2 linked regions of the Callithrix jacchus genome follow. The protein of the gene in region 2 purifies or fractionates together with the protein of the main gene of each other region. This does not show direct contact. Links are inferred from orthologs where the notes say so. Each region holds a gene or a part of one and is shown on either strand. Other genes may lie near its edges. The genes, in order: KLF5 and RARA.

Region 1 (4,575 bases), on a different chromosome or scaffold from region 2:
TTATAGGAACTGGAGGAAGCTGAGGTGTCAGATACTTCTCCATTTCACATCTTGTCTAAAAAAGAGAAGAGATACAAACATGCATAATCCACCTGATGCACAGTCTCAGGAAGGACAATCGGCGCCTATTAAAATTCTCCCAATCCCTGTGTGAGGTATTAGGGCAAACTTCTCCGTGTTGCTTAAAAACATATCAGGCTTATTTAATCAATTATGTAATATAATTGGTTGACCAAAACCTTATGAAACTCTGTGTAACTGGTAAAACTGCTCCCTCAATCACCTCAGAAGTGAAAGACGCAAATCAAGAAAAAAAAGAAAGCAAACTGAAAACATTCCTTTCTGATGCAATAACAAGGTATCACCCCTGTACAAGCAGGATTCCCTGCCCCATTACACAGTTAAGTTTGCAATTAGAGTACAGTACAGTATTGAAACGTTGCCAAACTGCTTCAATTCTGTTTAAGTCATAAACATTAAAAAGTTTTTCTTAAAAAAGAGAAAGTGCAAATCTTTAAATTATTGCAAAGGTTTCTTTGCTTGGCTAGATACTTCCAAAGTATCAAATACTAAAAAAAAATTATTTGGCTATTTCAGTCTTTTCTTGTTTACAGTTCAATGGGAAATTAAATACAATATTCTAAGCAAAACCTTGTATCCACTGAGACAAAACAATTTCACATTCAGTATTTGATCTAAATGTTGATTTTAATCAGCAGATCCTGTAATTGGTTAATATGACAATGAAATGTTCCTATTCATATCCCTATCTAAAACAGATCTTTAATTACCTAGGGGAAAATCACTCCCTTGGTAGAGTGCTGCTAGTGGGTGGGGAGGCTGCTGTATCCCTAGCACAGTCATCAGCAAAACATTTATCATGTCCTCCTCAGTGGGCCAACGCTACATTCCCCCCTACTCTGTAAAAAGCTCAGTCATCCCTTATCTTCTTAGTGCCTCCAGAGCAGAAAATTGACACAAACAGAAATAACCAAATACTTTTCAAACAGAGATCTCTTTTCTAGGCTATGAAGCAGCTTGTAACAAGTCATCTCAACCCTTTTCCAGCTATCTTCTCTCCTAGTATAACTTAAACTTACATTTTTTAACACTGAAAAGGAAATTTCAAAAGATACGAAAACCAACTAGATGGAACGGCGCATAGAAGAACTATTAGCTGTGGCACCTTAATCGGTAAATAAGACAGTCATTTTCTGTTACTACTTCATTTCAAGAGCGTTTAATCTCGGACCTTGGTGTGGATACGGACGGGGTTTCCCGGATAGACACCATTTAAAAATAAAAATTAACGCTCTCATCATGTGAGTCACATCTCTGACGAACGCCACTGCCCCCTCACAGCAGGACCCTGGCAGACCCCACTGAGTAGGCGCTGGGTAGCAAATACACGATACGCCAAAGGGCTACTAAATGAAGTGTCTTGAAATAAACTGAACTAAACCCTTTCGTGCACTGCGCTCCCGCGGCGGTTAGTGGTTTCTGATTTTAGCTCTTCCAGCTGTTTGCATGTGGGTATGTTTCCAATTTTTTTTTCCTTGGGACAGGCTAAAAGTCCTGGGAAGTTTTTTCTGGGCTATATGACTCCCTGCGTGGGCGAAAGAAACAGGCGGTGGCTCTAATTCGGCTGCTAGGCAAGTGTAAAAGCCAACTGCCAGCTTTCAACGCGGCCCCGGGAGGAAATTTACGCGCACACGAAGAAAACAACTCCCCGGTATTTTTTTTAAGGAAAAATAAGCGCTCCAACACCTTAGCTTTCCCCTCATTTCCCCCTCATTTTCCAAACGCGGCCCGCAATCTCTTCTAAAAGCAGGTTTAGCCACAGGGTATGAAACCTTGGGGAACCTCTCCACAGCACCCCAATTTGCGTTTCTACTTAACCCGAGACGATGGGGGTGTGTGTGGGGGGGTGCTCCAATTCCTTGGCATTGGAGAGCGGTAAAGTCGAAGGCGTAATTTAAGTAAAACTGAGCGTAAGGTACAAGGTTTCATCCCTCAAGTATAAGAAAAACAACTAAGGTGCGCGTGAGCACCCAGTTCTCCTCCCTTTGATCTCTCCCAGGACGACCCGCCGGGGCATATTCTCCCTGGCCCGGACTCCCATTTAATCTCCGCGAAACGCGGGGCCCCGGCCAGGCGGGGGGGGGGGGTGGGGGGTGTCTGCCTCCCCAGCACCGGCTCCGGTGCGCCCCGACGCACGCCCCAGCTTGGAGCGGCCCCTGTCGCCTGCCCGTCGCAGCGGCGGGACACGCCCGAGCCCGGGAGTGCAGCGCTGGGAGGGGAGCGGCTCTTCCTACCTGGACCAGCTCCTCGGGAGGCAGCCGCGGACCGGCTGCGGGCTGCTGGGCCGGCTGTGGGGCCTGTGGGGGCGCGGGCTGCGCCGGCGGGCGGTGGTGTGGGTGCTTCAGCTCCTCGCCGGGGAAGAGCGCCGCGTCGCGGGCCGGGTTCGCGGCGCCCAGCACTGGCTTGAGCTGCGCGAACACGGGCTCGTCCTGTGGCGCCGGCGGCTGGGGCACGGGTCCCAGGCGGGCGCTCATGCTCAGCACCCGCGTAGCCATGGGCACTCGGGGGCGCGGCTCCGGGCGCGGGTCGGGCGCACTTCCCACCTCGCCCACGCTGGCTCAGGCCAGCGAGCTCGGCGCTGGACTGCGGGCGGAGGAGGGGAGGTTTCGGGCGGACCCCTCAGTCAGCGGCAGGCAGTTTTCGAAGGCGCGCACCAAAAGCAAAACTCTTCCGCTGCCACACGTAAACCCCAACGTCCTCCGGGCGGTCACTTTCTCCCGCCCCGCCCCACCGCGCTCTCAAGCTCTCCGGAGCCCGCTCCCGCCACCGCCTACAGAGCTACAAGCGTGCGTACCTGCCCCGCGACTACTGACACTTGACGCCCGCCTCTATTTCACCCAACTCCAGGAGGGCGGGGCCCGCTCGCCTGATTGGCAGTGCCGCCACGAATCCTGAGGCTCCGAGGCCGGCCAGGCAGAAGCGACCAGCCTATGAAAGGGAGAGAGGCAGCCGGGGCCCCGCCTCCACCGGCCCGACCGCACCCCTCTCCGGCCACGAGCTTCGCGCGCAGGGCCGCCGCGCAGTTTGTACACAACTTCTCTGACAGATTGGGCTGGCGGAGCCGGGGGCGGAGGGAAGTAGCGGAGCGGGTGGAATCTGGGAAGAGGGGGAATTTGGGTGGAGACGCGGAGGGAGATCTCTTCGCACTGTTCTCTGCCAGGATTAGGGAGAAAGAGTATTGCACGTCTTAGGTGTTGTGCAAGGACCTGAAACTCAAAAGCTGAAACCCAGAAGGCAGCTAGGTGGGGGCGCTGAGGCTTTTAGAGACTTGTCTGATGAGTGTGTACTTTTAAATATCCAAAATGTACTTCTCTTTAGCAGAAAACTAGGGGCGGTGTGATAAACAAATTTAAAACAGCTCTTGTCTCTCTGTATCTTTAGCAGTGAGTGTATCCATTTAACAAAGCAAATTCAGAATGCCTGAATAAAAGATTCGATGGCAAGCGTTTTTTCAAGTCCTTGCATAAAAGCCTGCGTTTTCCCCCTTCTTTTAGGATTTTAATTGCTAGACGTTTTCCCCACACATTGCTACCTTCTATCTGTGTGTGGAGAGGAGAGCTTGGGCCATATGAATTTTGAAGTTTCTAATATTTAATTATGTTGATTCTAGCCGAAGCATGGAATCTAATTTAAGCATGACTAGCTCAAATGTGTATTTAAATAGACATTACATCTTTGACTTATTTTTACTAGCACTGTATGTTCAAAAAATGGACTTTAATATTTACAAAACAGAAACCTCGCACATTTACTTCATATTGTGGCACCTTTTCCTGCGAAGAGACAACCAAAAAGCCACAAACATAGACACAGAGCAGCTCTGAAAACTAGGAATCCAAATTTGTTGGAAAGTAATAGCCAAATATATTACCATCCATTTACTATGTTGTTATAATGGGAGGGTGAATTTTTGCCAGCAATCACCTAAGGAAACCACTTCCCTTAATCCTTAATGTTCTTGTACATGATTTTATCTGGCTTATTGGGAGTCCGGAACAATAAACTGCAATAAAAATGCCTGTAATATTACTACAAATGTACAGATGTTGACAGCACAGTATACCATTAGACAGTTTTACATATACAACAGCCGACTCATCACTTCAGAGTAAAACAGCTTGTTGAAAAAACAAAAGTATTTGAAAAAACATTCACTTCAAAGAGTGTATCTGTCAAAGGTATGGATCTCATTTTCAATGAGTAGAAAATTAACATGCACATAAAGAAGTGTATTTATTTTAAAAAATTATAAAATTTTGCTGTAAACTAGGTTTTTCTCCTTTTCCTTCTCTTCCTGTTGATACCTGATTCATTTTTATAGCTGTGATCGCTGCTTTCAGGGACTGGCTGATGACTACTTTCATGTTACCAAAGTATTATTTAATGAGTGCTTTTGCAAGTTCTTCTCTAACCAAGCAGCCCCATGCTGTCTACATTTATATTTAAAAAGCTGCCCTGCTTTTCTCTAATATCAAATTTATCATGTAATTAATT
Region 2 (4,255 bases):
ATTATGTTAGTCCCTTGCTCCCCAAAACACAGGGATTTCAATAGCCACCCCCAGATACCATGGGGGAAAAAACGCTTAAAAATGGGAGAAGATCTAGGCTTCTATAAAGACAGAAGCCTGGAGGCAAGAATAGGCCATGCCTGCTAGGCTGGGCATGTGCTGCCCCCAAGCTGAGTCAGAGGCTAGGAGGAAGAAGCTGAGGTGCTACAGTGCCAGAGGCTACTGTGCCCCCACACCATCCCACCTGGGATTCCTGACACCTCCCAACCCTAGGGGAAGGCCCTCCCCACACAGGAGGAAGGAAACCAGCTAAGCGACTCTCTGGAGCCCTGCAGGGGAGCCCTGCACCACAGGCAGGCGGGAAACCCAGGAGTCCTGGCACCCAGCCCAGAGAGAGTGAAATACCTTGAAGGGGAGGAAACAGCCCAGATTGAGGCAGACATGTGGCACCCCCAGAAGCTCCCAGATGTGATCCATAAGGAAGTACTGACCAAAGGGGCTAGATGAGGCAAAATGAACACATTTCTGAACAAGAAGAGAAAAGAAAGTGGGGCTATAGGAATGAGGTGGCGAGGGTGAGGGCCGCCTGGCTCATCGCTGTCCTTTCCTCCTTATCAGAGTCAGAGATACTGACATTAAGGCCATCAAATATCAACGAGGTCCTCAAGACCTTGGTGTGTTTCCTCCTCCCCTAGTCTCCAGACCCCAGCCTGTTCATTCCTGAGCTTCCTCTGGCACCCCTTCCTTGGGGCAAAGCCAAGTAAGAAATCAGCAGGCCCAAGGTGGTGCTTGGGAGGCCGGGGCAGTGCCAGGGGCAGTCCTCATACCATCCTCCCACTGGCTTCCCTCCCGCCTGCTCTTAGCCGCCACACATATCTCAGCTGTCGAATCCGATTAGGGCTCCTGCCCAGTGAGCCGGACAAGGAGGCCACTGGGCAGGGGAGAGAGAGACAAGGACGCCAAGCAGGGATGGCAGAAGGAAGGTGGAGACATGGCTCAGGGGAGAAAGTATGGGGCCCCAGAGGAAGAAATGCCTGGTGGAGAGATCTGTACTCTCTGACCACAGGTGCTCTGGCAACAGCTACAACCTGCAGGGGAATTCTGCAGTACCCGGGGCAATAGCCCTGCCTGGTTCCTCCATCTCCCAGATGGGTAAAGGATGAGGGAAGAAAACTGAAGGCAGAGAGATTGACCTAGATTTAGGAAGAGGATTCCATCCTAGATCCCCCCAGCCATTACTACCATTTGGACTGAGCTTTACAATACATTATCTGTGGGGTCTTGGTGGCAGACCTGCTTGCTGATAGCCATTTTTACAAATGAAGAAACTGAGACTTAGCACAGGGGAAGACCTACATAAACACACATAGTTAAATAACCAGGCTAAGTCTCCATTCAGGCCTCTGATTCCCAGTCCACTGCTCACACTCAGAATCTCTACTTTCCTTCTTGGATCAAGACCAGAACAAAGTGTGAAGCCACTCCATTATCTACCCTGTCCTCCAAAACCAACCCTTAGGGGACCCGGGGAGCCATGGAAGAATGCAGAGTACACCCCACACCTAGACACAGCTACCAGACAGGGACATGCAACCCACCCCTACCACACACTGAGAACTAGAGGAGTTCTCTCAGTGTGACCAGTCTGTTCTATCACCCCCTCCCCAGTCTACTACCCCCAGAAGCAAGATATACACTCACACACGGTAACTCAGACAGTGTACACCCTTCCTATAAACCCACCAAACCAGAATGGCATGCCCTAGATCATCATCAGAGAGCAGGGCCTGTCTGCCCACCACAGGAGAAAATACGCCACTGTAAACAGTAGGTGCCATCTAGCCCTCTCTGAGAGCATGTGGGGGCAGGGGGCAAAAGCTCGGGGACCTTATAGCTCTAGAGAAACACCAGGAGCCTGAGACTGAAAGCAAAGGAGCTCAGGGAGCTGGCAAGGCTGGGTGACCTCCTCAATCTGGTCCACACCCCCTTCCCTAGCCATCTGGACTGAGCCTGTTCTAGCCTGGCCACACTCTGGTATCCCTCCCTTTCAATGCCTGCAGCCACCTCTATCCAAAGCTTCTAGATCTTACAACCACATTGTCAACACACGCACACAGGGGTCGGGGGTGGGGGGGAGGGGGGAGCGCTTCTGCAGAAGGTGTTGAGATGTTGACAGGGATGGGGGCTCTAAGCTGAAAGAAGTTTCCCAGAGGAAAAGGTCACCAAAATGCTCACAACCTCCACTAGCTTCCTGCAAAGCCCTTGGCCACCCAGGTGTGCAATGAACCTGGAAAGGGACATTAGTTCCCCTACAAGGTGAGTAGGGATTGGGGACAACGTCCTGAGCTCTTTGGGCTAGGAAGCAAGAAAGAAATCCCTCAGGAAAGCTCAGGTCCCTCTCTGGCTCTGTCCTCTCTGTTACCCCAGCACTTGCCAATTCTCCAGTCTAGGTGAGGTGGGGGAAGGGGTTTTAGGCAATACTGCAAAGGAGGGTGCAAGGGCGTGGGCCTGGGCAGACCTTCCCCCTACTCCCCACTCTTAGCTAGGAAACGAGGACTGCCTCAGGAGAAATGCGGGAAAGGAGCTGGAGGGTGCAGTGGGCTCTGAGCTTTCAGACACCCTACTGTTCCGAGACTCCCACCTCGCAGGACTACAGTGAGTGACAGGAGAGGAGGGATGGGGAAAGCCAGAACTGACGAGAGGGAAACGGCTAGATCGGAAGCAGAGGCCAGTCAAAGGCGGCCAAGGAAGAATTGGGAAGGGGTGTGCATGGTCCTACCTGGTCAGGTGTGTGCTGGCAGGGGGGCGATGGGGTTCCCAGGAGAACCGGGAAAGCCCTCTCAGCTCGATTCAGGATTCCCCCCTGCTTCTGGGTTAGGCTGCTGCAAGAGGCACGGGTTCCCGTTGGGTCCTAAAGCCCACTCGCCAAACAGAAGACTCTCCCCGCCCAATTACACCAGCCCTGACTGGGTCAGCCGGTGCAGAGTGGAGGACTGATGGGGGAGAAATAACGCACTGGAACAAAGATGGGGGTCTGATCACCGGCTGGGGACGGGAACAGTTCCCAGTATCAAATACACAGCATATGGATAACGAGGATAGGATGACATAAAACAGGAGAAAATAGACATTTCTTCCTGGCTGCCCTGAGCAGATGGACTTAGGTTTTGGTGCTAGAGGTGGGGTTAAGAACTCTTTTCCTGCCACTCCCGCTGAGGCATTTAGCTAGAAATTTGGAGAAGGGAGCATTCCTTTTAGTTGGATGCTCACTTCTGTCCTCTTCCTTGTGGACTGCAGGAGTCTCTTCATCCCTCCCAATTATTCTCAAGTGCCTAGGAGGCAGGCCATCCAGGGGGAAAAAAAACAGATTTTCAGCCTGTAAAAAGTGCAGGCTAACTTAGATGGCAGCTGGAAACAGGTAGGACCAATTTGTGTGTATCTGGGTGTGTGGGGTCTGCAAATATACTTATATAGGCAAAAGTAAAAGCAGGTGCGGTTAGAGAAGAAGAAAAAACAAAAAAGGACCTTGGGCTACATCTATTACTGGAGATGATAATTGTCAGTGGAAGAACAGGATGCAGAACCTAGAGGTCAACTAGGGCCCCTACCCAGCCCTCAATAAGGTCCGAATCTTTATGACCAAAATAAACAAGTTAAAGAGAGAATATTTTCCTATGTACCATTCTGGATAAATATAGGGGCACAGGGACCTCAAAACAATAGATCAACTTCAAGGTCACTGTTTCAGTTTAGTATAGCCAATCTTCTCAATAGCTCAAAGGGAGAATTCAGGTTTGGCGGGCTAGATGAGCAAGAGAAAGGTGGATAAGAATTCTGAAGTTGTGGATTGGGAACATTTTGCAAGGAGAGTTGCACATATCTCTAGCAGCAGATCAGGGAGAATGTCATAAGGGCCAGAGGAAGTCAGGGACAGACTTGAAAGAAGAGGGCATGGCCTCTCCCTAGAAGAGAGGACACCAGCAATGCCTCCACACCTCTTTTTGTCTTCCAGAAAGAACTCAGAAAAGGAGCTGGGAAGTTAGGATGGAAGGCCCCAGGGTGGAGTCCATGGGGTGAGTTTAGGTCAAGCCTTTCACCCTAATGTGCCTCAGTTCTCTCCCAGCTGTTAAACAGGGCTCTTCGTTCTTCCCAGGCAGTTAATGAGTGTTTACAAAAGGGTTTGGAGATCCTCAGATCTCAGCTGGGCCACCACTAGTTATAAAGTTCAGTAAGAGCTGAGTGTTATTTGGGGAGA

What was found.
Region 1: the proteins of RARA (region 2) and KLF5 purify together in Homo sapiens (affinity purification with western blotting; 4 studies listed by BioGRID). This does not show direct contact. The link is inferred for Callithrix jacchus from reciprocal best matches to the Homo sapiens genes RARA and KLF5.

What each region holds. Positions count from the first base shown.
Region 1 is NC_133502.1:42,208,346-42,212,920, forward strand, and holds the start of KLF5 (Krueppel-like factor 5), read right to left. Parts: upstream 2,889-4,575; 5' UTR 2,577-2,888; coding exon 2,316-2,576; intron 56-2,315; coding exon 1-55. UniProt on the Homo sapiens protein: Transcription factor that binds to GC box promoter elements. Activates the transcription of these genes.
Region 2 is NC_133506.1:92,950,958-92,955,212, forward strand, and holds the start of RARA (retinoic acid receptor alpha), read right to left. Parts: upstream 2,887-4,255; 5' UTR 2,780-2,886; intron 1-2,779. UniProt on the Homo sapiens protein: Receptor for retinoic acid. Retinoic acid receptors bind as heterodimers to their target response elements in response to their ligands, all-trans or 9-cis retinoic acid, and regulate gene expression in various biological processes.